7 linked regions of the Coturnix japonica genome follow. The protein of the gene in region 2 purifies or fractionates together with the protein of the main gene of each other region. This does not show direct contact. Links are inferred from orthologs where the notes say so. Each region holds a gene or a part of one and is shown on either strand. Other genes may lie near its edges.

Evidence for each region.
Region 1: the proteins of LIN37 (region 2) and LIN54 purify together in Homo sapiens (affinity purification with mass spectrometry; 4 studies listed by BioGRID and IntAct, counting the BioPlex papers as one, with this or other methods). This does not show direct contact. The link is inferred for Coturnix japonica from reciprocal best matches to the Homo sapiens genes LIN37 and LIN54.
Region 3: the proteins of LIN37 (region 2) and LIN52 purify together in Homo sapiens (affinity purification with mass spectrometry; 6 studies listed by BioGRID and IntAct, counting the BioPlex papers as one, with this or other methods). This does not show direct contact. The link is inferred for Coturnix japonica from reciprocal best matches to the Homo sapiens genes LIN37 and LIN52.
Region 4: the proteins of LIN37 (region 2) and RBL1 purify together in Homo sapiens (affinity purification with mass spectrometry; 3 studies listed by BioGRID and IntAct, with this or other methods). This does not show direct contact. The link is inferred for Coturnix japonica from reciprocal best matches to the Homo sapiens genes LIN37 and RBL1.
Region 5: the proteins of LIN37 (region 2) and E2F4 purify together in Homo sapiens (co-immunoprecipitation; 4 studies listed by BioGRID and IntAct, with this or other methods). This does not show direct contact. The link is inferred for Coturnix japonica from reciprocal best matches to the Homo sapiens genes LIN37 and E2F4.
Region 6: the proteins of LIN37 (region 2) and MYBL2 purify together in Homo sapiens (affinity purification with mass spectrometry; 6 studies listed by BioGRID and IntAct, counting the BioPlex papers as one, with this or other methods). This does not show direct contact. The link is inferred for Coturnix japonica from reciprocal best matches to the Homo sapiens genes LIN37 and MYBL2.
Region 7: the proteins of LIN37 (region 2) and TFDP1 purify together in Homo sapiens (co-immunoprecipitation; 3 studies listed by BioGRID and IntAct, with this or other methods). This does not show direct contact. The link is inferred for Coturnix japonica from reciprocal best matches to the Homo sapiens genes LIN37 and TFDP1.

The regions. Positions count from the first base shown.
Region 1 is NC_029519.1:41,194,404-41,198,480, forward strand, and holds the start of LIN54 (protein lin-54 homolog), read left to right. Parts: upstream 1-1,277; 5' UTR 1,278-1,483; intron 1,484-4,077. Other genes in the region: COPS4 (COP9 signalosome complex subunit 4), read right to left, coding at 1,104-1,192. UniProt on the Homo sapiens protein: Component of the DREAM complex, a multiprotein complex that can both act as a transcription activator or repressor depending on the context. In G0 phase, the complex binds to more than 800 promoters and is required for repression of E2F target genes.
Region 2 is NW_015439939.1:37,374-41,389, reverse strand, and holds the start of LIN37 (protein lin-37 homolog), read left to right. Parts: upstream 1-1,216; 5' UTR 1,217-1,231; coding exon 1,232-1,365; intron 1,366-2,887; coding exon 2,888-2,943; intron 2,944-4,016.
Region 3 is NC_029520.1:34,237,107-34,241,053, reverse strand, and holds the start of LIN52 (protein lin-52 homolog), read right to left. Parts: upstream 2,801-3,947; 5' UTR 2,709-2,800; coding exon 2,690-2,708; intron 2,603-2,689; coding exon 2,528-2,602; intron 2,433-2,527; coding exon 2,395-2,432; intron 1,874-2,394; coding exon 1,807-1,873; intron 1,309-1,806; coding exon 1,225-1,308; intron 1-1,224. Other genes in the region: ALDH6A1 (methylmalonate-semialdehyde dehydrogenase [acylating], mitochondrial), read left to right, coding at 3,003-3,053, 3,187-3,246.
Region 4 is NC_029535.1:553,474-556,973, reverse strand, and holds part of RBL1 (retinoblastoma-like protein 1), read left to right. Parts: intron 1-209; coding exon 210-476; intron 477-1,434; coding exon 1,435-1,613; intron 1,614-2,305; coding exon 2,306-2,482; intron 2,483-2,942; coding exon 2,943-3,014; intron 3,015-3,355; coding exon 3,356-3,440; intron 3,441-3,500. UniProt on the Homo sapiens protein: Key regulator of entry into cell division. Directly involved in heterochromatin formation by maintaining overall chromatin structure and, in particular, that of constitutive heterochromatin by stabilizing histone methylation.
Region 5 is NC_029526.1:1,544,954-1,548,453, forward strand, and holds the end of E2F4 (transcription factor E2F4), read right to left. Parts: intron 2,814-3,500; coding exon 2,769-2,813; intron 2,466-2,768; coding exon 2,350-2,465; 3' UTR 490-2,349; downstream 1-489. Other genes in the region: ELMO3 (engulfment and cell motility protein 3), read right to left, coding at 35-112. UniProt on the Homo sapiens protein: Transcription activator that binds DNA cooperatively with DP proteins through the E2 recognition site, 5'-TTTC[CG]CGC-3' found in the promoter region of a number of genes whose products are involved in cell cycle regulation or in DNA replication.
Region 6 is NC_029535.1:3,093,696-3,097,738, forward strand, and holds the end of MYBL2 (myb-related protein B), read right to left. Parts: intron 3,437-4,043; coding exon 3,290-3,436; intron 1,247-3,289; coding exon 1,118-1,246; 3' UTR 501-1,117; downstream 1-500. UniProt on the Homo sapiens protein: Transcription factor involved in the regulation of cell survival, proliferation, and differentiation. Transactivates the expression of the CLU gene.
Region 7 is NC_029516.1:123,708,782-123,712,281, reverse strand, and holds part of TFDP1 (transcription factor Dp-1), read left to right. Parts: intron 1-2,155; coding exon 2,156-2,262; intron 2,263-3,500. UniProt on the Homo sapiens protein: Can stimulate E2F-dependent transcription.

The sequences.
Region 1 (4,077 bases), on a different chromosome or scaffold from region 2:
AAGTGAATCCAGGATAGAGTTCTCTTTTACCATACAAAGGTGCCAGGGAAAGAGTAAATAAAATGACATCCTCTGTAAATGAGGACTACTGAAATAAGAGAAAGGTTCAAGCTGCCACATTCAGTGAATACAGTAATCATAGAATCATTAAGGTTAGAAAAAGTCCTCTTAAGATCACTCAGTACAAGCCTAACCCCAACCCATCCCTGCAAATAACATCCCTCATGACTCTTGAGCACCTCCAGAGACAGCGACCAACGCCTCACTGCTCTTTTGGAGAAATAAAGTTACCTGATATCCAATCTGAACCTCACCTGGTGCATCTTAAGGCCATTAACTCTCATACTATCGCTGTCAGAAGAGGCCAACCCCTGCTTCACTGCAACCTCTTCTCAGGCAGTTGTAGAGACAGATAAAGTTTCCCCTGAGCCTTCTCCAGACTCAACAATACCACTTCTCTCAGCTACTCCCCATAAGCGATCCTAGTTTTCATGCTTTGTAAAACCCAGGACAACTGCAGACCATGACCTCAGGGTGCAGAGTACTGAAATGGAATAAAAACTTCTTTCGATGTTCCCCTCAAAAGACAGACTGAACACGATCACCTTCGCAGCTTTCTTATTTTAACCAGGAGCTCTCAAAGCAAAGACGTTCCTCCAGAGAACTAAGAACTGGGACTCGAGGAATACCAGTTCCATCAGAATCAGACACTGCCCTCGAGGAAGGGAAAAAACAAACAAACTGTGCGACACATTGCACCGTGAGCAGCCAAACACGCCATATCAAAACAATAAACGTTAAGGGAGGTTTCACGGTGCCCACAGCAGCACAGGGCCCATCACCACAGCGGGGCCAGGGCCGCAGGGACCACGAGGCGGCCCTAAGGCCTTCCCCAGACATTAAACCCAAGCTGTAAGTGGCAAAGTGTATGAGTAAGTGTATGAGGCCGATCTCTTTGAATTTTCTTCTTTTTTATTAAAAGTAACGCTTCAGAAGCGTGGTCCTCGGGCCGCAGCCATCAGAGCCGCTCCCCCGTAGCCCGGCAGCGTCCGCAGCCCGCACCCCCCCGCCCCACCGCCAAGGGAGCATCGGCCGGCACTCACTTCCCCGCCAAGTCCTTGTGGGAGCCGCTCGAGTTCATCAGCTGCGCCAGCTCCTGCCGCACCGCCGCCGCCATCTTGTCTCCTACCATAGAGCGGCGGCGCCGGCGGGATAGAGCGGCAGCACGGCGAGAGGGGGGGCGGAACCGGAAGCTCGGGGAAGCGGGCGGGTGGGTAAGCGCTGCGCCGGCGGTTGCCAGGGCGCCGCGGCGCAGTATTATGGGATGCGGCGGGGGAACGGCGCGGGGCGCGTGATTTTGAACAAACGCGGCGGCTCCTGGCGGGCAGTGCTGTGCCGCCGCCGCCGGGCGCGGACACGGAGAGCGGCGCGGAGCCACAATAGAGGAGGCGGCGGTGGAGGCAGCGGAGCGCCCGCCCGCACGGTGAGTGCCGAGGGGCGGGAAAGCGGCGGCGGGAGGGAAGAGAGCGGCGGCCGGGAGCGGCGGGGCGCTGACAGCCGGCGGCAGGATGCAGGCCGCAGGCCCGGACACACTCGGGGCTGCGCCGCGCTCTGCTCCCCGCCGAGACGGGAGGCGGCCGCTCGGAGCGGAGCGGGAGGACGGGTGGAGGGGGCAGGTGCGGCGGGGGCGGGCGGAACCGCGGCGGTGACGGGGTGAAAATGGCGGATCTTTCGAAATAGGGCCCGCGGCTCCCGGCCGCCCCCGCGCCGCCACCGCCGTGGGGAGGCCCCGGGGGGGAACGGAACGGAGCGGAGAGGGCGGCGGGGGAACGAGGCGCTCGCGGAGGGGCCGCGGGGCTCGGGCCGGGCCTGCGAGCGGAGGGGCCTGGAGGAACCGCGGCGCCCGGTTGCGGAACGGGGAAGGAGAACCCCGAGCTCCCGGAGCGAGGCCGCCCTTTGTGTGCGGGATGCCGGCACCGGGGACCAGGGAGCGGCGCGGCTTCAGGTGCGAGGCCGGTACCTGACCCCGCTCCGCTCCGACTCCGGCACCTGCCGCGGGGGTCCCGGCGTCGCCCGCGCTGGCGATCGGAGCGCGGTGTTAATTATTTCTGGCCGGGGCTCGTCGGCACATCGTGTGCTAATTACGTAACGTTCTGTATGAGGGCTTTGGGTTCCGAAGCGTATGGGATCTCCTGTCAGGACATAACTCGTGCCTGGGAAATGCTCCAGGATGGAGATGTGCGATCGAGGAGGGGCGGGCGGCGATGTGAGCCTTCACGGCTCTGTCCTTTCTGAACCGCTGTGCGGATATTACAGCGAATGGTGAATGTGGCAGAATCGCTCTTGGTGCACTTTGCAGTGTTTACATAAACCTGGTAGTAGCAGCAAAGCCTTCGATGTGTGGCTACCTTTTTCACAGTAGCTTTCTGGATTAGTGGATGCGAGAAGAACAATGAGTTGTCAGCTGAGTGTTTTCTCTGGCAGAGGAATCCCCTCACCAAATGCATTAGCCATCTTGTTTTGTTCCCTAAAGCATCCAACTGGTGTGTGTGACTAGGAATGATGTCACTGTGTGCCTTGAACAGATTTGCATTAACCAACAAATGTATGCATGTAGCAAAGCACTCCTAAAGTCTAACTGGGAGCACATATTAGAAAACAGGGCCTGGCTAATCCTGTGAGTTAGAAGCACACTCCACGCTGGCTGTAGAGCTATCGTTTTGAGCAGCTTATTATGCAAGTTTAATTGTTCAGATTACATATCACAGCTGTTTGTTTTGCTTATTCCACTGTGTGCAGCCCAGCTCAAATGGTCTGTCACTGAACACTGTGAACGGTTCAACTTCTCAGAAGAAGCTGTAACTAACTGCTTTCAGGCTGAGTATCTGCTGACTACAGGTGAACTGAAAGTGTGGAGAGTGCTGTGGGATTTCGGACTCGGAGACGCCAATACCTCATATGTCTTTTTTATTTTAGATTTTAAGAAGCAATTGCTCTAAGCTGCTTGAATTCATTTCCCTCCTGCCTGCTGGAAGAATATTGCATGGGAAATGAAACAAGACAAGCTACAGAGGGCTGTTAGTTTCTGTTTCTACAGCAAATTCTTTCTTGCTTCTGATCCCTCCTTGTACTGTAGCAGTGGTGCCTACCTTCACACCTGGTTAGAAAAACTTGATGTCCAAAAGAATTTGTGTGCTGCAGTTTTAGGATTCATTACAAGTGTCTGGGAGGTAAACTCTTGGTTTTATCTTTATTAGCGGTAGGACCTCCCAGAGAAGTGGATAAAGGTTTCTAGAAAGTTTGCTTCTAGGGTTTGTCTTGAGTAGTTTAGTTTATCACTCACAAAGTCTTTAAAGCAGCATGGAGTTCTCAGTACGGCCCATGAGTCATCTTGCTAGCTTTATAATATCAGAAAACATGAGTTTGTCTTGTATGGGAAGGAGACATCAGAATAACCTCTTGGTTGATGATAGGTCACACAGCAACACAATGTCAGAGGTTCATGTTTCTCACATTCCAGATCTAGATGAAGACTAGCAGCTCCCCAGCCTTTCCAGCCCATGTATCATTCCCTTTCACAAGCCACAAGATGTTGCTGCCTGGCCTTGGGTAATGTTCATGCCTTTGGGCCATGATTTGCTCCATCATGAGTTCCAGATACAGAGATTTCCTGCCAGTTTTTGTAGTTTTTCATTTGCAACTTACCTTTTGTTCTAAGTATTACTATCCCTTGTATTTGGGAGACTTAGAAAAAATGTAGCTACACATCCCTTTGATCCCATGAGCACTTCTTGCTTCTTTCTTGATGTTGGCACTGGTCCTCCCTCTTTCATGCTTCCCCTTCTCTTACACCATGCCTAAACACTGCATAGTCCGCATAGTGAAAGACTCATCTGTGTTAATACTGATATGGATTTTGCTCTAAGCTGGAGTGATCTGCACCAGACTATGTCAGGTGGCCTCCCACTGCTGGGGGTTGGTTGTACTCCCATCTTCTGCTCCTGTTGCTTGCTCTGAACTGGCTTTCTGCTTTTCCTGAAGCTTTTACTGAGCTGAAGTAGCCCTGTTTGAAGGCAG
Region 2 (4,016 bases):
ATAGATCACTTGTGGGTCACATATAGGGCAGTTATGGGGTCAAGAGCTCACTTAGGGGGCAGTTATGGGGAATACAGAGCATTTATGGGGCAGCTATGGGGTGTCTATGGGGCAACTATGGGGTGTCTATGGGGCAGCTATGGGGCTTCTATGGGGTATCTATGGGGCAGCTATGAGGTGTCTATGGGGCAGCTATGGGGCATCAATGGGGTCTCTATGGGGCAGCTATGGGGCAGCTATGGGGTGTCTATGGGGCAGCTATGGGGCACTATGGGGCTCTCACCTCCTCCTCAGCAGCGCCGCCGTTCTCTCTTGCAGCCCCTATGGGACAGAAGCGATGTAGAATGGGGGGGCTCCGGGCCCCATAGCGCCCCATAGAGCCCCATATATCCCCATAGCGCCCCATAGAGCCCCATATATCCCCATAGCGCCCCCATAGAGACCCATAGCGCCCCATAGAGCCCCATAGCGCCCCATAGCGCCCCATAGCACCCCATGGAGCCCCCTAGCGCCCCATAGAGCCCCATAGCGCCCCATAGGGCCCCATAGCGCCCCATATCGCCCCATATAACCCCATAGAACCCCATAGAACCCCATAGAGCCCCCTAGCGCCCCCTAGCGCCCCATAGGGCCCCATAGCGCCCCCATAGAGACCCATAGCGCCCCATAGAGCCCCATAGCGCCCCATAGCGCGCCATAGCACCCCATAGAGCCCCATAGCGCCCCATAGCGCCCCATAGCACCCCATAGGGCCCCATAGCGCCCCATATAACCCCATAGAGCCCCATATAACCCCATAGAACCCCATACAGCCCCATAGCGCCCCATAAGGCCCCATAGAGACCGATAGAGACCCATAGAGACCCATAGCGCCCCCCACCTCCATCCGACTCCTATGGGGGGCGCAGCCAAAATGGCGCCCGCCCCAACATGGCGCCCGCGCCCCGCCCTCCCAGGGGATGAGACGCGTGTTGATTGGTTGTCGGTTGTGATGGACGCGGCGTGCGGCCAATGGGAAGGCGGAGTGAGTGGCGGGACGGTTGAAAGAGAAAGCTCCGCCTTCTTGTGTGGAGATGAGAGCGGTGATTGGTTGGGATGAAGAGATGGACGCGGTGAGCAGCCAATGGAAAGGCGCAATGTGTTACGCCCCGCCTTCTAAACAACAGCTCGTGCTTCGATTGGCTAAAAGGTAAAACGGACGTGATCACAGACCAATGGGTAAAGGGCAGCGATGTCCCGCCCTCTGAACGCGGACTCTGGTGCTGATTGGCTGTCAGCCGGACGGACGGGGCAAGCGACCAATGAGAGAGCGAGGAGACGAGCTGAGGAGGCGGCGCGCGAGGCGGGAGACGCGGCGGGAGGGAGGTGAAAAATGGGGGAAAATGGGGAAAAAACGGGCAAAAATGGGGGAAAATGGGGAAAAACGGGCAAAAATGGGGGAAAAGAGGCAAAAATGGGGGTTTTGGGGGGTTTAATGGAGTTTTATGGGGCTCTATGGGGTTTAATGGGGTTCTATGGGGTTTAATAGGGCTCTATGGGGCTCTATGGGGTTCTGTGGGGTTCTATGGGGTTTAATAGGGTTCTATGGGTCTCTATGGGGTTCTATGGGGTTTAATAAGGTTCTATGGGGCTCTATAGGGTTCTATGGGTCTCTATGGGATTCTATAGGGCTCTATGGGGTTCTGTGGGGTTTAATAGAGTTCTGTGGGGTTTAATAGGTCTCTATGGGGCTTTATAGGTCTCTATGGGGTTTAATAGGGCTCTATGGGTCTCTATGGGGTTCTATGGGTCTCTATGGGGTTCTATGGGTCTCTATGGGGTTCTATGGGGCTCTATGGGGTTCTATGGGGCTCTATGGGGCTTAATAGGGTTCTATGGAACTCTATGGGGTTCTATGGGTCTCTATGGGATTCTATAGGGCTCTATGGGGTTCTGTGGGGTTTAATAGGGCTCTATGGGGTTTAATAGGGCTCTGTGGGGCTCTATAGAGTTCTATGGGGTTCTATGGGTTTCTATGGGGTTGAATAGGGCTCTATGGGGTCTCTATGGGGCTCTATGGGGTCTAATAGGGTTCTATGGGGCTCTATGGCGTTTAATAGGGCTCTATGGGTCTCTATGGGGTTCTATGGGGTTCTGTGGGGTCTCTGTGAGGCTCTATGGGGTTTAATAGGATTCTATGGGGCTCTATGGGGTTTAATAGGGTTCTATGGGTCTCTATGGGGTTCTATGGGTCTCTATGAAGCTCTATAGGGTTCTATGGGGTCTCTATGGGGTCTCTATGGGGCTCTATGAGGCTCTATGGGGTCTCTATGGGGCTCTATGGGGCTCTATGGGGTTCTATGGGGCTCTATGGGGTTCTATGGGGCTCTATGGGATTCTGTGGGGCTCTATGGGATTCTGTGGGGCTCTATGGGGTTCTATTGGGCTCTATATGGTTCTGTGGGGCTCTATAGGGCTCTATGGGGTTTAATAGGGCTCTATGGGGTTCTATGGGGTTTAATAGGTCTCTATGGGTCTCTATGGGGTTCTATGGGGTTCTATGGGTCTCTATGGGGTTCTATAGGGCTCTATGGGGTTCTGTGGGGTTTAATAGAGTTCTATGGGGCTTTATAGGTCTCTATGGGGTTTAATAGGGCTCTATGGGGCTCTATGGGGCTCTATGGGGTTCTGTGGTGGCTCTATGGGGTTATATGGGGTTCTGTGGGGCTCTATAGGGTTCTATGGGGCTCTATAGGGTTCTATGGGGTCTCTATGGGGTCTCTATGAGGCTCTATGGGGTCTCTATGAGGCTCTATGGGGTCCCTATGGGTCCCAATGGGTCTATATGGGTCTCTATGGGTCCCTAATGGTCCTTATATGTCTCTATGTGTTTCTATGGGGTTTTTAGGTCCCATCCCCCACACGCCGCCATGTTGTCCCTGAAGGTGAAGGTGGAGAAACCAGGTGAGTAATTAACATCGTAATTAACATCTTAATTAACATCATTAATTAACACAGACTTAATTAACACTAATTAACCCCAAGAAATCCCCCAATTTCCGCCATTTTGAGCCCAATTTCTTCCTTTTTGGGCCTAATTTCTTCCATTTTGGGCCCAATTTCCCCCATTTTGGGACCAATTTCCCCCATTTTGGGCCCAATTTCCACCTTTTTGGGTCCAATTTCCACCATTTTGGGCCCAATTTCCCCCATTTTAGGCCCAATTTCCACCATTTTGGGTCAATTTCCTTCAATTTTGGGCCCAATTTCCCCCCATTTTCGACCCAATTTCTTCCTTTTTGGTCCAATTTCCCCCATTTTGGGCCCAATTTCCCCCATTTTGGGCCCAATTTCCCCCATTTTGGGCCTAATTTCCCCCATTTTGGGCCCAATTTCCCCCATTTTGGGTCAATTTCCTCCAATTTTGGGTCCATTTCCCCCCATTTTAGGCCCAATTTCCCCCATTTTGGGCCCAATTTCCCCCATTTTGGCCCCAATTTCCTCCATTTTGGCCCCAATTTCCTCCATTTTGGGCCCAATTTCCACCATTTTGGGTCCAAATTCCTCCATTTTGGGCTCAATTTCTGCCATTTTGGGCCCATTTTTGTCAATTTTGGGTCAATTTCCCCCATTTTGGGCCCAATTTCCTCCATTTTGGGTCAATTTCCTCCAATTTTGGGCCCAAATTCCTCCATTTTTTGGCCCAATTTCTTCCTTTTTGAGCCCAATTTCTTCCATTTTGGGTCAATTTCCTTCAATTTTGGGCCTAATTTCCACCATTTTGGGCCCAAATTCCACCATTTTGGGCCCAATTTCCGCCTTTTTGGGTCCAATTTCCTCCATTTGGGGCCCATTTTTGTCAATTTTGGGTCAATTTCCCCCCATTTTGGGCCCAAATTCCTCTTTTTTGGGTCCAATTTCCTCCATTTTGGGCTCAATTTCTGCCATTTTGGGTCCATTTCCTCCATTTTTAGGCCCAATTTCCACCATTTTGGGTCAATTTCCTTCAATTTTGGGCCCAATTTCCCACATTTTGG
Region 3 (3,947 bases), on a different chromosome or scaffold from region 2:
CAGCATTTAATTATATATGGAAGATTTCCTAACATACATGTATACGTCATGACACACAAAGCACTCAATGTGTTACAGAGATAGACTTTGGTGAAAATAAATTGCAAATACAGTGAGACGTTATATAAATCGAGAAAGCAAACCACCAGCCAATCTTATTATTTGATTAAGATTTCCATTGTTAAAGTATAACTTCTACTCCACTAAAAGCTTTATTCAATCCTTGTAGATGTTGGCACTGAAAGTAAATTTCTACCTATGGAGAGAGTGTTCAAACAGGCTTAATGATCTATTGATAAGAAATATGTATTCCAGGCTCACAATCACGAGACTTCAAAGTTCAACTGCTTTTTGTTACCCACTGAAATAAAGCTGAAAAAAATCTTTGAGCCTAAAAATTTTCAAAGCCTCATGTAAAGCTCAAGAGTTTGCTAAAACTGAAGTCTAAGACAGAGCAAAATAAAGCAGTAAAAGTTAAATGCATCAGTACACACAGATACTGTTTAAAGGAAGCACAATCCCTTTGGAATCTTCAAAGCCGGATCAGCACATTAACAACAAAATCCTATATGCAATGACAATAAAAAAAACGCATCTTCCCCCCATCCCCACCCCCACTCCCACCCCCACCCCCCTTCAAAAAAGGCACTGACATAAATTGGTTGTTGGTAAGCAGGATGAAGGTCAACTTTAGAATGCAGTGACAGCACCTCCTGCTATAGCTGACTATGGAAAATAAATAACTGCAGAAGCCCAAAGTTACAAGAGCACTAATGGCTAACAGAATCCTGCACACCAGTTACATTTTCACTCTGTAGGCAGTACACAAACGCACAGTCACAGAAGTGGTGGCACAGATACTCTGTGACAGAGTGTTAGCACCTAAGCGGTAAATGAAGCAAACTGAGTGATTTACCTAAGCCAAAGTTAAGTCAGAAATTGATGGGCCACTAGAAAACACTGGACCTTAGCATTCAAAACAGAAAACAAGACCTAAAATAAGAAATTCTTTTAAATGTGCTCTATTAGGCTCCACTGCATCCATGATAGACTTGCTTAGAGCAGCACTCTTTTTTTCTTCAGAAAATTCTCTATTGCACTGTCATAATTGTGTGACATTCCCCACTTCAGCAAACGTACTTTTCTGACTGTAAGTGCAACATAAACACACACTTCAGTGGCAAGATTCATAATACAGTCATCACATCTGTGCACAGAACTCACATTCATCCAGTCCCAGCTGATATGCCAAATTCTGCAGGCCACGAACCTTTTCCATCAGGTTGGCTGTAGTGAGGCTTCCCAGCTCTAAAAGGAAAAAGCGTGATTTTTAACACTGTAGCCCTCTAGTGGCAGCTTATGTTTATCGCTTCACAGAGCATTCAAGTTATACTTTGAACAGTATCGGTTTACAGTGTACAGCATATGTTCTTCAGCTCTCACAACTCATAATAACCAGCAAGACATTCTAACTGTTCCAAAGCAATCAAAAAAAATGAAGAAAAAATAAACAGCAGGGATTTACTGCTTCAAAAAGCAGTAACAAGGAGAACAACAGCATTTTTGTTATCAGTATATATTCTTGTGGGACCAACTAAAGATAGAGGCAATTGACAAGACAAAGACTCCTAAGCAGAATCATTCAACTGGAGATGTTCTGCAGGTTAAGATGGTCTGCAGATTAAGAGGAGCATCCCCCATCCCTTCCTTTCCACAAGGCTTCAGAAGGTCTCTGAGCTCATCTTTTTAGTAGGCACTGAATTCCCACCCGCAGACAGCCTCAGTGCCCATGGAGCCCATACTCACCCTTTAACATATCGATATCATCATTCTCCAGTTCAGCCATCCATTTGGGAGGCGAGCTTGTAATAGGCTGGTTTGGGGGGGAGGAAAAAGAAAAAGAACAAAAAGAAAGGAAGAAAAAAAAGCAAAACATTCTCAGAGAAGTACATTTTTAGCTGCATACAAAGCCTGATATAGCATTTACACACACAGAATTGTAGGGGTTGGAAGGGACCTCTAGAGATCATCGAGTCCAACCCCCCTGCCAAAGCAGGCTCCCTACACCATGTCACACAGGTAGGTGTCCAGGCGGGTCTTGAATATCTCCAAAGAAGGAGACTCCACCACCTCCCTGTGCAGCCTGTTCCAGTGCTCCGTCACCTATTTACAACCAGTTACACTGAAAGAATAAACGCGATGGCTCCAGGCACCCTACAGGGCTACTCTAATGCCTAGAAAGCTCTTCCTGGACGAGTTGGGTGTTACTGCAAGTCACAGCCAAAGCCAGCAGTAAGAGCAGCACCCCCAGGGCTTAGAGCAGCGCGTTCCTGCGCAGCTCGTCCCTCCCGCAGTGCCTGTATGACCCGCAGTGCCGTGGTGTTGGCATCTTACGCTTTTGAAGGAGGCGGCGAACTCGGCGACGCCGGGCACTGCAAGAGAGAACCGAACAGCGCCGGGTGAGCGCGGGGCCGGCCCGGCAGCCCCGCCATCACCCCAGCGACACGGGCCCGCCGCACTCACTCACACTGCTCAGGCCACAGGTCCGGAGAAGCCCGGTCGAGCTTCTCGAAGCTCAGCAGAGAGGCTTCCAGATCGGCACCTACAGCACAGGGAGTAGAACGGAGGTGAAGCGGCGCCCGCTCAGACCGTACCGCAGGGTGACGATGACCCCATTCGCGCGCCTTACCGTCACCGGGAGCCGCCATCTTGCCTGCGTCACGTGACCTAAACCCACAGCCCGCGGGAATCCACCCACGTGACAACAGAGCCCGAGCGCCTTAGTGCTCGTGGCCAATCGCTGCCCCGGATGGGGGGGCGGTGGCGGGAAAGGGGCGGGGCGACGCTCTCCCTGGCAGCGATTGGCTGGCGGCCGGCAAGGCCCCCTCGGGGGGGGCGTACAGCGGGCGGGGGGGGCGCTCGTCTGGCCAATGAGCGGGCGGGGGCGGGTCCCTGTGCTGGGGGCTCCGCTCGGGGTCCGAGCGCTGTGACCCTCGGCCGGGATGGCGGCGGTGGCTCGTGGCGCTTGGGGCGGGCGGCGCGTGGTGCTCAGGGTGAGGCGGCACACGGACACAGCGCTGCGGGAGGGGCCGCGGGTGGCACCTCGGGGGGCGGTGGGGAGGAGGTGGGGGGTGTGGAGGAGGAGGGGAGCACCGTGTAACCGGGCTGCTCTGTGTCCACATCCAGCTGCCGCGGACAGCCGGGGCTCCCTGGATCGCTTCGGCCGCCGTCTCCTCCTCCTCCGTGGTGAGTGGGGCCGGGCAGCTCTGTTTGCTGTTGGGCTGGAGGGGCCCGCGGCGGTGGCTCCGCCGGGCCGAGGAGCAGCTCGGATTTCCTGCTCTCCCTTCAGTTCTGAAGATGGTGTTATCCCGAGTGCAGCCCGCGGCACGGCTCGTCCCGCCGTAACGCCAGCCACATCAGCACTTGTCATGTCTTATTCTTATTTTAACCCACCGCCGCGTTCCTTCACAAGCCGAGGCCTCGCTTATCCATTACACTCTTCGCAGCCGTGACCTGTCCGGCTCAGCCCCATTTATTTTCCTGATTCGTCCTTTGATCCCTCTCCCACCATCACAGCAGCATTAGCATCCCTGCCCTCACCAGGTGAACTGCCCGGTGGATGAGGGAAAGGCTGTTGGCACAGTCTACCTAGACTTCAGCAAAGCCTTTGGCACTATATTCCAATCTCTTCACTTATATGGCCCCAGTTCTTCCTGCATGTTGCAGCACTAACTGCATCTTCTACCCCTGCTTTTTCTTCTCCATACTTACCTGAACTCCTTAACTAATGGGCAGAATTCTTACCAAGTGAATTATTAACTGGTTTCTTTTAAATATGTCTGTGAACTGCAGGGTTTTTATGACTTAGCAATTGTAGTGACTGAGTAGATTAAAATAGTTCTGAACATGATTCTATCAATGTGTATCTTCTGTAATAGTTTTTAGAC
Region 4 (3,500 bases), on a different chromosome or scaffold from region 2:
TCTGGGAGAGCTACAGAGTAACAGAAGTCAGTTGAAGGGCTGTCAGTCTCTATTCAAGAAACAGTGACCTGTGAGATTACTCCCTAACCAGAATTGATGCATTTCAGTCTGTTGTTATAGCTTGACCAGATAGCCTCTTCTTATGCTGCAGAGAAATTCCTGTTCAGCTCCTCCACTGAAGATATTCTCTTTTCTCCTTTGCTCACCAGACACTCAGCCATTGTCACCAATCTCTGTGCATGAGCGCTACAGTTCCCCGACAGCAGGAAGTGCCAAGAGAAGACTCTTTGGAGATGACAGTCCCAAAGAAATGCAGGTGGAAAAGGTTTTAACAGAGGGAACTAAGTTGACAATTGCTCCAGCATCAAGTATTGCTGCTGAAAATGCATCCATCTCTCCTGGGCAGACAGTGCTGACTGTAACAACAGCAATGGTGGCAGGAAAAGCAGGACAGAAAGTTACTATTCCACTGCATGGTACGAGTTCCTTATGGTTTTCTTTCATATGAGATGTTTTGTTTGCTCTTAAGATCTGGCTAGATGGGCCGTAGATCTTGTATCTATTTTTCCTTCTTTAAGAGAGCATTAACAAAGCAAGCAAACAAACACAACACCAGAACTCAAGCCTTTGTATGGGTGTCTCTTTCTGTGTTTTAATCTGATATCTGACAAGAGTCTGGAGGATTCCACGTGGCAAACAAAATTGTGGAGTTCTTCCTTACTGTTAAATCTCATCACAGATTAAGCATTGGTTTGTTTTTCGGCTCTAATAGTGATTCATTCCTGCTTGCTCTGGTTTTTGTCTACTGTCTTTTTAAGACTGAAGTTACTGAATAAGGGTTGTGTAGACATTAAGCAAAATAGCAGGGGGTTGCATTTGTTTTTTGGGGGGGGTTGGCTTTCTTTGTTTTACTGGAACAGGTGCTTGACTATTTCTTACAAGGATACACAAGAAATGAGGTCTGTAGTCTTTCTGAATTTCAAAATCTGTGTCTCCATATAGGAAGATAGAATGAAAAAATCACTGCTTTTCATGTTTAAAGAGACATTCCTTAAGAGAATTTGACAGCCTCAGAAACTCATGTGGGCTGTGTGCAATAGATTGTGAGATTTGCAGAATAATATAAAAAATGAACTCAGATGCCCATTGCTCCCAGAGGAGTGTTGCACTGACAACAGAGATTGTAATTTCATGTAAACCTTGTACTTTTAAGGGAGTTCTAGAAACAATAATTCACAACCATCCTCTTCCTTTGAGCTTTACCAGAAATGTACTTTTCTGTCATTTATGAAGACTCGATCTTCTTAGTGCTCGATATAGAAGGAAGAAATATCTTGTGTATGAAATACTGGTTTAAGAGTTTGGGATTTGCAGTTCTACTGTGCGTTGTTGTTGCAGCAAGCAGTTCATTTCTTGGGTGCGTGTCATCTTCAGGTATCACAAACGAGTTGGGTGGGATCACATTGATACCCGTTTCGATGAATCTAGGTCAGACACCTAAAATAGAGGCTCAGGATCCCTGCCACCCTCAGGTGAATCAGGATCAAGAGGTGCATCTCTCTTCAAGAAACAAACCAAAGAAAACAGGATCCTTGGCGCTATTCTACAGGAAGGTAGGCATCTTTGATAGGAAGGTGGGATTTACCTCTGTGGCTGTGCTGAAGCTCTGTGCATTACATTACCTTTCAGTCCTTGGCTTGAAGAATTCTCACATTGCTGGGAGAAGGGAAAAGCCATTGTAGAGGATTCAGTAACACCGTTCATCTTCTGTCCATTCACCTTCTGTCCTCCCCCATCATGAGGTGTTTTTGTTTCTTAATTTTCAGGAGCTTCTGGAAAGAGGGAATTTCTTGAAATGATGAGGAGTTAAAGGATTAGGTTAAGAACTTGGTGCTTCAGAGAAACGTTTTTAGGGCAGGGAGATATATTCTTACTAAAGAGGTTCTCAGAGATTTTCTCCTTTATATCCTAAACTGGAGAGGGGTGGATTTGAAGACTGGACTATTTGGAGGATGAAGAACTGGTTGGATCTCCATAGCCAGAGTGTTGAATGCATCCCATTATAGTGAGTGAGGTAATACAGAAGGAATAGAATATTTTCAATCAGGTTTCCTTTAAGCATCCAGCATTTGATCTGAGTTGACAATTTAGTATTTGAAGACATTCTTGTGGGCAGGAGGAGAAAGCTTTGAGGAAGCAAAGAACTGAAACATAAAACAGCTGCACTTCAGTGATGGCTTTCACTTCTCTGGGATAGGTTAAGCTCAGTTGGCTTGATTCGTTACTGTATGTCTTTCTCTTCTAGGTTTACCACCTGGCAAGTGTGCGCTTGCGTGACCTGTGTTTAAAGTTGGATGTCTCCAATGACTTGCGCAGGAAGATCTGGACATGCTTTGAATTCACATTGGTTCATTGTGCTGATCTAATGAAGGATAGACATTTGGACCAGCTTCTCCTCTGTGCCTTTTATATCATGGCAAAGGTAACATGTAGGTTTAAGGAATGAGAGTTTTATTTCAGTTCAAAATGTAAATTGGATGGCTGACCCTGAGTCCTGTAGCAAATGAACAATTCTGATGTGTGAAAGAAAACTAAAATTGCATGTATGCATGTATAGCTGTGTGGTGGTTTGTGGAGTGCTTCCTTTTTTCTACTGAGAAAAGTTAAGACACGTAGTTTTCAAATTCACAAATACATCTGATGGAATAACACTTCCTTTTTTAATTTTTAGTATGAGTTGGAAAAGAAATAATGTCTAACTTAGGCAACAAATAGCTTTACTATCAGAAATAAAAAAGAATGTGTATTTTTGTTCATATTCCCATCATTAGACGCATCCCATCAGCATATTAATGCTCGTGAAAGATCTGTGTACAAGGAAGCTAATTGAGTACACTGCACCTGGGCAGCCTCACTGTCTTCAATGGCCTTTTCTTTTCCAGGTCACCAAAGAGGAAAGAACTTTTCAGGATATAATGAAAAGTTACAGGAATCAGCCACAAGCAAACAGCCATGTGAGTAAATGAAGGTGCCTTTCCTTTGTATAAATGTTTGACGGGGTGGTTTTCAGGTGATTCTGATGATAATGGAAAAGTCGACTTCATTGCTTTATTCATTCTTACTCAAATGGATTTCATCTCATAGTATTGCCAAGGTTGGAAAAGACCTCCAAGATCATCCAGTCCACCTACCACCAATATTTCCCACTAACCCATGTCCCTCATTACAACATCTAAACATTTCTCGAGCACCTCCTGGGACAGTGACTCCCCCACCACACTGGGCAGCCAATTCTGCTGCCTGATCATCTTCTGACTTTTCTCTTTCCCTGTTTTCCCCCCTCTGTGTCCTGTAGGTTTATAGGAGTGTCTTGTTAAGAAATAGTTCTGCCAATGTCCTTTTGGACAGAAATGCAAACCAAGATGTGCGGATGACAGAAAGTAAGTAAAGTAATCTGACACTGTTTTAAAACGTACTTGCATGTTTTTATGGAACCAAAC
Region 5 (3,500 bases), on a different chromosome or scaffold from region 2:
GGGGGCTGCGGGGGGAGGTGGGGGCGGGCGGTACCTGCTGCAGCTCGATCAGCTGCGGGATGGCTCCCACCATCTGGATGGCGATCTTCACCACGTCCTTGGGAGGCGGCATGGTGGCTCCCCGCCGCACCGCGCCGCAGTTCCGGGTCTCAGCCGCCACCTCCCCGCCCCTGGGAGGGCCGGGCCGGGCCGAGAGGCCGTCGGGGAGGGAGCCCCGAGTGGGGCCGGAGCGGGGCGGGCACGGCCGTCCTCCTCACCTGAGCTGACGCAGGTGGGGCGGCTCCATCCCGTCCCGTCCCATCCCGCCCCGTCCATCCAGTCCCATCCGTTCCCCCGGTCCCATCCCGTCCCATCCTACCTGCTCCACCCTGTCCCATCCCATCCATTCCTATTCCATCCATTCCTGCCCTTTCCCATCCCATCCCATGCATTCCCATCCCATCCATCTCATCCCACCTATTCCCATCCCATCCCTATGAACAGCACAGCCTCTGGAAAGGGTTCTTTTATTCACTCAACAACTGTACAAATATTACAGGCAATTTTCATTTCCTTTGCAAATAAAAACAAAACAACCCCAAAGTATAAAAATAATCTTTATATAGGAATCAAAGTTCATCAGTTCATCTTCTCTACAGCTTTTTTTTTTTTTTTTCCTCCTTTTTCTTTGTTTTTTTTTATCTCTCCAGAGCTGTGGCAAACATTAATGTGCTGGGGGGGGGGGGGGATGAAGGTGAGGGGTGGCAGAGGAAGGAAGGGCTGCTGGAGCACTCGTGTGTCTCCATCCCACCCACTGCCTTCACCTAAAAAGGGATGGAGGCTGGAGGCTGTCCATTCCTATTGAATTCATTGTGTTTTTCCTATCCTACGGGGTACTGCTGTGTCCCCAGGAGGCAGAAAGGAGCAGGTCTGTTGGAGGAGTCCCACAAAGGATAAAAAAGCACCGGGGAGATGCTTTGGAAAGAAGGGACTCAAGCATGTGGCCTTCTCACCTCTGCAGGTGCTGAGAGTTGGGTACATCCCATTTGTAGCCCATCACTGCTGGTGCTGGCTGTGAGCTGCAGCTCTGGCAGTTTACAGGGCAGGAAAGGCTCCATGGGACGGCTGGGTTGGCAGGAAGATGTGCAAAACTGATAGGCAAATCAGACCCAAAAGCAACGTTGGGGGGACGGTTTGCAAAGTACAATAAATCCAGGAGGGTTTTTTCTCCAACAAGAGCAAAGAAAAGAAATGCATGGGCTCCATTGGCTGCTCATCCAAAAGAAAGACAAAAAAACACTGCAAAGCCACCTCAACACACCTGCTAAAAAGCAACGCTGGGACAAGAAAGATGCAGAAAGGCATCGCATCGTGCAGCAACCTGCCATGGGATCAGGGAGCACAGCATGAACATCCATCTCTGTAGGAAGGCCGACCCTGAGCACATGGTAAGGAGGAACAGAAGTGGGAGGGTTAGAGGGGGGGAACAAAACACTATTTTGACAACACCTGTGGAACTCATCGTGGCAAAGCACTACTGCACCATTCCTGCTTGGTGGCCTTTACAACAGTTGAAGGCTCAAGTGCAACGCTGGAGAACAGCTAGATGCTAACACAAGGTGTCTGATGTACTTGAATACCTTCAAGGCATCAGCTGGAGCAGTCTTAACCTTTTCAAGCAACTCATTAGTAAGAAAACATTAATACTGGCACCCTTCTTCAGCCCTGTAGGAACAGCACAGTGTTGGGCTGTGCGTCAGGTGGGCCAACACCAGGGGACAACCAGCATTCCTGCTCAGCTCCCGGGTCCTATTGGGAGGGGCAGCCAACAGAGAAAAGTGCTTTGTCTTGTAAAACGTACTGGCTTGGATTGGAGTCACTGGAACAAATGGAACCTCTGGTGCCATTGGTTTTTGCTTTTTGTTGATGTCACTCTGGGATATAAGCACCCACACTGAAACTACCTCCAGGCTTGTGAACTGGCCATGCTGTCAGGGCTCCGTGTAGCAGCTGGTACCTAGGAGGTGCAAAGTGCCTCTAGGAGTGCAGGAAAACCAAGGCATGCAGATTTGAGGAAGCCTGGAGAGGCACCTGGGCAAACTCAACAAATCACAGACCCACTGAAGCCATGCCCAGAATCCAGTGAAGAGAGAGATGCAGCAAGGCGAGGTCAGTCCTTGCACGTGCAAGACGGGAGGAGAAAGAAGTGACGGGGAGGCTCCCGGCCTCCGAGTCCACATCTCTTGCTTCTGAGTTCATGTGAGAGTTTCTCTGATTCGAGCTCTAGCACAAAAGGAATCCAAAAATAGACACTTTCCAAAGAGTTACAAAAGGGTCTGTGTGTGCGAGGCTCACAGCCGCGCCGAGGAGTCAGAGGTTAAGGACAGGCACATCGAAGAGGTCACAGACACCTTCGCTCTCATCCAGGTTGTAGATGTAGTCGTGATCTCCAGGAGGGGGGGAGAGGCGGAGCAAGGGAGCAAACACTAGAAGAGAAAAGCCAGCAGTTGGTTCCAAGGCTCAGCACTCCCACAGCCTGGAGCTGAGCCGTGGGGCCTCGTAGCCTGAGATCCTTGAGATTGCTTTTCATCAGCCTTGAAGCACTGAAGAGGCTCATCTGCTCCTCGTGCATCACTCACTGCCTGGCACAACAGTGAGAACTATGCCCTGAGCCCAGAACAATGAGGGCAAGGCTGCAAATGCAAGGCTGCCACCTGTAGGAAGGCACACAGGACCAGTCTTCTCCCCCAGAAAGGCCACACCACGAGGGGAAAACTCTTGAGACTCACCTTCAGATGACATCAGCTCCTCCAGCAGCTCAGAGTTCATACATTCTAGGGAAGAGACAAACACAGTAAGCAATGCACTCTGACTTCTGCTCTGTGTTTGTGTGTAGTTTCCCAACCTTCCCAGTTTTTCTTGTTCCCCCCTTTTTGGGTTAAGGCAAGGTGGGTGCAGGCAGTGGCAGCAGGAAGCTCAGCCTCCTGCCCTGGGCAGAGGGAGCCACGTGTGTTGGGCCATTCAGGCAGCACCAAACCATTCTGCAGGAGGTTCCTTCCTGCTCAGCCCAGCCACAAGCCCAGTGCTCTCACATGAAGGGTGATGCCTTATCCCTGCAGTGCTGTGTTAGCTGCAGTCCCAAAGGAAACTCCCCCACATGCATCTGAAACTGAGGTGGTAAAGCCAGATGCACTCCTCAGTTACACACACTCACTTTAGAGCGGGGAGGAGAAAGAGAAACAAGCTGTTCCAGGAGCAGCAGAACTAATCAGTCTCCAGTTTCATTCATATTTGTCCTCTTCGTCCCTCCTCATTGGATCCCTTCACTCCACAGCTGTGATATGCCATGGGAGGTTGGCCAGCTGCCCACCAGCAAACATCTGAGCTCTGTATATCCTTCCCTAATGGGCCATTAACTGCTCTCTGCTCCACTGCCCACACAAGGCTACAAGCAGAAATTATCTCTGAAACATCGTTCCTTCCTCCAGTGATGTTGAACTTGGCCAACAGGACCACGAAGC
Region 6 (4,043 bases), on a different chromosome or scaffold from region 2:
TTCATGTGCCAGTCTGACCAATGAGCTGCTCTTCAGTCTCAGCCAGGAAAGAGGAGATTCCACATGAAAACACGTTTCCTGGTGAGCTATCCTGTCTTTCTCACCTCTGTATCACACCACGTGCCCTTGTGCTCATTATTTGACTTCACTGTATCTCAAACATCACCTACAAAAAACAGCATTAGCCTTTGGTCCAGTCCAGGCCCATGCTTAACTGGTAATCCCCACCAGTTATTTTAATAGCTGAGCACTCTGTTCAGCTGATCAGCCTCCTCCACACAAGGAACACTGATCCAGAAGCTGAGGTCTGCACTGCAGAGGCTCCTCAAGGCCAGAGGCTCCCAGCAGCTCTCCAATAAGGCTGCAGCCACTCTGACCTGCCTCAGAAATGCTGCAGTCCACAGCATGCTCTGCTGCTTCTTGACACCCCTACACAGCACTGCCTCCCTCTGCACATTGTGAGGCCCCAGGCAGAGTCAAAGCAAGACTGAACAACTGGGTGTTGTTAGCACCATTGTTTATTTCCAGAGGGAGCAAGTCCCTGGGAAGAAGCACCCGCTGCTCCCATTGTGCAGCAATGGCAGTACAAACAGCCACACAGGGTTGGCCAGCTCCAAATGCAAATCAACCCAAAGCACATCGCCCATGACAGCACATCATCTTCATCCTAGAAGCAAGGAGGAGCCACCATCCCCTGCAGAAAGCCAGATGAGGAGACACATGGGAACCTTAACAAGAGCCATTCCCAAGGACAGCCAGCATGAAATCCAACAGCCTTCAAAGTCTGTTTCCAATGCATGATACGCGTGCTGCTTGAAGGTGAATCAGCTTCCTATGCTTGTGGAGCCCAGGTCTTGCTGAGTGCTCTTGCTGTCAGTTCTCCACCCATCCCTCATTTGCCTTTCCACAGGGATTCCAGAACTTGTATCCGACATTATAGCCAGCAGTTAACTCAATTTATTACAATACAGATCTAACCTGGGAATAGAAGGAAAAAATTCACCCCTACACGCTACGGCCTTGCAGAGGATTTTTTCCACCCCTCCAACTTCGTAGTTCCCTCCTCTTCTTTTATAACAAGATGTAAAACATAAAATAAAAAGAGCAGAACAATCCTTCACGATAAGATTAAGGTCCTTGATGTGTGACTTTGTTTCAGCATGCCCAAGAACTGTCGTGCTTTCTCCTGCATGAAGAGTTGGTCTCGGGTTCCACCACAGGCCACCGCTTTCCAAGCCCTGGTCATCTATGAAAGGAAAAGAAAGAATATGTACAACACAGTCCAGGGAAAGGAGGGTGCTGAGGGTTAGTGAGACAAACACAATGTTGACATACTGTTTTAAAACAACGTGCATAAATAAAAACTATCTGCTCCCCAGGAAAAATAAAAACCTATAGCTTGGGGGGTTATGTTCAGCAGTTTCCCATTGCAGAACCACTCATAGGCTTCTTAAGGGCTTTCCCCAACTTGTCTTGGGACCAAAAGCCCAGAGAACAAGCCCACTAAGCTTCACTGGGCTGAACAGAGCCTGGAAGGATCAAAGGAATTCAACGGCAGCTTCCAGGTTTATTGCCAACCAGCTCAACTCCTATGGAAGCTGCTCAGCCCCAGACCTTGAAGGGTTGGATTGGTCAGAAAGACCATCCATCCTTAGTAGCAATTTGGTGCCTGTAGCTTCAACAGGGCCTCACACAGCACAGGAAGAGCTGGAAAATAAAAATCAGCTGTGCTTCAGTCACTGTGTAAAGCAAGAGCCCCCATGACATGCTTTGCTATGCTAGGAAAACCCTCTGCATAACCTCTGATAAATGCAGCAAAACAATATATACTGCCCTCAACTGGAAGTAACCGTTTATGTGTAGGGCAAAGAACTGGAGTTTGATGAGTGGTATTTGCTAACAGCAATGCCCCGTGCAGACACAGCATGGTTTTGGGGATAATTTAGGTTCAGCTCACAGCTAAGTGAGCTTCCTTAATCTATAGCTGCCACTGTTGGCAGCACAAGTCTGGTACAACAAATCCCAAGAACCCAGCAACACCACAGGCAGCTCTGCTGTCTTTGGGCAAGGGGATTTCTCAGAACACCTGTACTCTGTCATCACACAAGCTGCCTTACTGCCACCCTCAAGTCACTTCCAGAGCTTTATTTATATGGATCTATTAGCACTCAGAGCAATACAGCTCTACCTAGGACAGGAGGAGAAATTGAAGTGTTTAAGTGGGGTCTATTTTGAGAAGGGGAAGGAATTACACTGGCAGGAAAGTACTTATTTGTCAGAAAGAGCTTTCACAACAGACAGCTCTAATCCAGAGACAGATGCTCTGTTTATCTGAAGACAGAGCCAAGGCTGCACTGTGAAGACTGCACCTGGGCCCTTCCTAACATCTGAAAACATCTCTGTGCTTGCCCCCAGCTGTGGTTTCACTCCTCACCAAGGAAAACGTGTATTTTCATCCTACCAGAGAGTTTCCACGACTCAGCCCAGACTAACACCTGCAAAAACCATACCCTTCTCCAAGGCACCCCACCAAATGAAGCAGGGATCCAATTCTTTTAATGCGCTACTGTCTGAAACTACATCAACTGGTGAAGAGTTTACAAAGAACACAACCATTTATGTCCCAAAGGTTAAATAACTCTAAGGTCAACAGCCCTTAAAAGCACCAGTCTCAGCACATGTTATGAGTTATGCTTGAAAGACAAGTAAACATCATCTGCTGGAGCTCAGTAATGCCACTGTTCAGGTAAATGGCAGGACAAAGGCAGCCCATGCTGTCTGTGGCACACAGATTTTACCACAACCTAGAAATATCCCTCAAAGGGGTGAGAAATGCCTTTTTGGTACTTATATTGTGCCTTGTAGAGTTGTTACAGTCAGAGAAACAAAAAAGATTAACCTACTGCTGTCCATCCAAGGAGTGATTCCTGAAAAAGTAGTTTACTTCAGTGCTGGGTTAGTCTAAATCCCTTGATGGGCTGAGACAGGACACAGATTCCCAGGAAGAAATCCAGGGCCCTGGGTGCAGGCCACAGCTCTGATGAGCCATGGGGATTTGAGTTCCAGCAGAAGGGCAGGTTTGCAAAGAAAGTGGAGGGAGCTGCAGTAATGACACTGCTAGTTCAGCATCTCCAAACCTGGGTACCAAGACAGCTCTGACAGCATACAGATATCCACACAGGAGCATACTATGTTCCTCTTGAACTCACCACCATAATTCTCCTCCTGAAGAACAGGGGCAGCACTATAAGCTGACCTGCTGATGGAAGGGAGCAGCTGCAGGGCTTACCGGTGCTGGAGGTCTGAAATGGCTTGGCATTTTCCTGTAGGACATTTTCTCTGACTGCACTTGCACAAAGGCTCTGTTGAGCAAACCAGAGTCATTCTTCCTGTTTGAGGAGGAAAGGTTCAAGGATCTTGACAGGAAATTCAAAGGCTGCAAAACGGAAGAAAATTATATAAAGAAAAAAGTTGATTTGCACTAACAGTGCTGATACTTGTCATGGCCAAAAGGTCAACTAACAAATCCCAGCAATTCATCCACACATTATAAGGCAGTCGTAAGTGGCAAAGTCAACACTGCTTTGCACTAGATTTCTTTGGAGATCTTACTAACCAAAACAGCCTTGCAAAGAAAAAGAACATATAGCTATAAGATAAGAAATAAGTAACTGCCAGAACACAGCCTTTGTCTTCTGAGATGAAGAAGACCCCTTCTCACCCCTGCAGCCAGCCAAGGAAACCTCTAAGGATGGGAACACATAAGGCTCCTCCCCATCCCACAGGTAGAAAAGCAGCTGGGTAGTAAGTCAAACCACAAAGGAATTCACAACTCCTTCTGCAGGCAGCTTTTTCACAAGAATTTCTGTTCATCCAGAGCCTTTAATCTTCAGTCCGTGACTCAACCTACAGCCCCTACACCATTCTTGAACTCTGGATCCCACAGCCCTTGATTGCTAGTGTTAAAACAAAACCTATTTCTGCTGTTTTGAAGGGCTAAAGGTCCCATACTTGCTAAAGACAGAAAATGAAAGCAGTAGTGG
Region 7 (3,500 bases), on a different chromosome or scaffold from region 2:
GCAGGGGCAACTTGAAAGAATGGGGCCTTGAGTAACTGAAATTTTTATATAACTCCAGGGAACTTCCTAGGCAACCTGTTCCTGTGCTTACCATTTTCATTGTGAATGTTTTATCCCTGGTATCTAGTTGGAATTCTCTGTGCAGCTTCTGGGGACAGCTGCCTCTCTTTTGCTGTGCATCTCTGTAACTACCTATTTGGTATTCTGAGGTGACACTTATATCACTACAAACACACATCTCTTGCCTTAACCATCTCCAGGCTGAATGTATCAAGCTCCCTCAGCTTCTCCTTATACATCACATAATTCAGTACTCTAACCACATTAGCAATTTACCAGGAAATATTTACCTCTGAATTCTAAAAGTACTTAATGAAGGTACTTCTGTTGTGTTACCCCAATATAATTATAACATGTAAAAATAATTAGTAAACACATAGATAAATGTGATAATGAGCAGGAACTAATGCTTTTCCACAAGGAGGGGAAAAGGGAAGTTAGGAAGTTGCGTCTTTGTTCAAAGTCATGCTTTGAAAGAATCAACAAGCATTTGGATAAGGGTTATCTAATCAGTGTGATGCCCTTGGTTTTGTTGAAAGCAGTGGTCTAGAAAATAAGAAAGTTATCAAGGGCTTTAATCAGCCTGTTAAAGCACCTGAGGTGTCAGGGAATGGGACAGTCCTCGCATGGGTTAATAATTGATGAAAGCCAAACTAGATAAAATGAGGACCCCAAGTGAACTGTTACCACTCAGAAAGTTTAATAAAGTCCTTGTAAGTTACATGATGAAAACATAAAATTAGTGTCTGTTGGGGAACAAGCAAATTAAATTTTAAGAGTTATTTAGAAATCAACAGAGAATAAAATAGAAAATGTGCCGTGGATTTGTACAGTAACATATGGTGTGCCTTCTTCATGAGTGGTGTGTCCCTGTCCCCTGTGAGAACAAGTCTCAAACAGGAGAGCTCAATGGTGTACGTGCAGTAAGAATTGCCAGAGGTAAGGAGAGGGCTCTGTACAATTAGAGATGAGTTGACAAGGAGTCTTAACTTGAGAAAGAAGTTACAACTCTTATACTGGGAATGGAACCTCCAGTTAGCTTTCTTGTTTTTGCAAGCAATGAGAAGGTTTAAATAAAGGCACGTTGGCAGGAAGCTGAGCAGAAGATACACAGGCACTCGGAGCTGGAGTAGTGGTGGCTGTGCTCGAAGGAACACTGAAGAAACAGGAAGGCATAACAGGCAATGAACAAGAGCCTGCATGCCATGCTTGTAACAGTCCGCACTGACAGAGACCTGCTGTTGCCACTGCTGAAACTCACCACTCAGCACCTCACTGCTCACGTCCACTATTTGGTTTCCATCACAGTGGTCAGCAACTGTCAATGAATGTCAGAGTGTACTCTTATTTCCACATGGAGGAGTTCAGTGACACACCTTTGCTTCATCCACCATTGTGTCAGAGCGCCCCTCTGCTGCCATCCATCACACAGCAACAACATGTAATGGGATATTGGTCAAAGGTTCAGCCTCTATTGCCGTACCACCATCATCTGCCTCTGACGTTGTGGACCAATGTCATAACATATGGAGCATTACTTTTGGAGCGGCTCTCATAAAATAATCACAGAATCACAGAATTATCAAGGTTGGAAAAGACCTAGAAGATCATCTAGTCCAACCATTACCAATACTTCCCAGCTAAATCATATTCATCAACACAACATCCAAACGTTTCTTGAACACTCCCATGGTCAGTGACCCCACCACCTCCCTGGGCAGTGCATTCCAATGGGGCATGGATTTTGAGTGGTTAGAGAGAAGACTTCGGTAGCCACTAAGAAAAGGGGGTTGAAGAGGAGGGGGTATGCCTTCTATCATATACCTGTTAGCTCTACCACTGTGCTTTGAGAGAATAAGTGGACCATAGTGAGTTAAATCATGCTCATTCTATGTCACCGAGCTGATTACACAGAAGGAAGGTGAGAAAAATATAGTAGGAATCTTAATTTCTTAGTGCTTCGAGAGCATGAATGCTGCATTTATGTAGGTTCTCTCATTTCTGTTAGTAGGCTTTGGTAATATTTAAGAAACTGGAATTGCTAAAATAATACAATGTGGCTGACATGAAGATTTCTGCTTCTATTTGTTTTTAGGAGTTGTTTCTCTATTGGCTGTTCATCCCTCTACAGTAAATACAATCGGAAAACAGCTCCTGCCAAAAACATTTGGACGGTCTAATGTCAACATTGCACAACAAGTGGTAAGGAGATGTGTTGGGTGTTTTTTTACTTGCGTGCTGTAAATCTGAGTTGTTGGTTGATATCCAGTATCACTTGTCATGTGCAGATTGTCTAAATGTTTCTAGTTTTAATAGACTCGCAGAAATAGAACAAATGTGCTTTTGCAGAAGGAAATGACACAACAGTGAAATAAACAGGTAGATACCTGAATATTCAGATTGCTGTCTTTTTTGTTAGTGTTTCCACTTCTAATCAGTGGCTCTTTACTGTGTTGGTTTGGAATCTGTCATAGGGACATACTCAGTTTTGGTTGAGTAAATGAACATTTACAGCCCTGTGTGTGTGCGCATGCACAAATTATACAGCTGTAAATTGTTGTTTTCATCGCACGTTTCAAATGACAAATTCACGTGCTTTCAGTCTCTCATTGTAACATGAAATTGCTTCTCTTGATGGTGTCTTTCTTAGTATGATCACAGTGTGAAATTTACACTTGCAGTGAAGAATTTGTAGCATTTTAAGTCTTATTCGAAACATTTTTTGTGAGAAAAAAAAGGTGGCCTGTATCAGAGCAAATTTGTATTGACTCTTATCAATACAAAATGAGATACTTAGTTTTATGTTGGCAAAGAAGAGATGGAATTCTTGTTTGATATCTATATAGAGAGAAATTTACACTGGCTTTATGATTCAGAATGACAGCAAGATAGCAAGAAATAGTTAAAACCCTGAAATCTGGGAAGATATTTATTTACTTATTTATTTTTACCAATAAGGAAGATATTCTTGGGAAACAGAATTGAGGATCTTCCTTCTGACCCTGCTCAGCTTTCCAGCCTTTCCCTGGTCAAAGACAGGTTTTTAATACTCAAATATTCAATTTTCTGAGCCTGTGTTCTTATTCAATTGGTGTTATTTTGTTCTCAGGAGAAAAATGTGGGTGGTGACAGCAGTGTAGCACAGTGGAGTGGATTGTGAAGACTGTCTCACTGTTCTTTTCCATTTTCTTGATGTTAGTTATTCTTAAGGAACTCAACTTTGATATCATTCTTTGTAAATCTAAAAACATTAAAAGAATGTAGAGAAACATCAGATTACTACTTTGACTTCATTCTTTGCCTCTTCCCTCCCAGTTTTCTTTCAAATTCCATCCATATTTGTTCTGTTATCCTGTGGTCCATCCTCTATGATTCCATCCATAAGCTTTCATTTTAGAATGTCCCCAGTGTCCCAGTGACTTCATTCTATTGAACTCTTA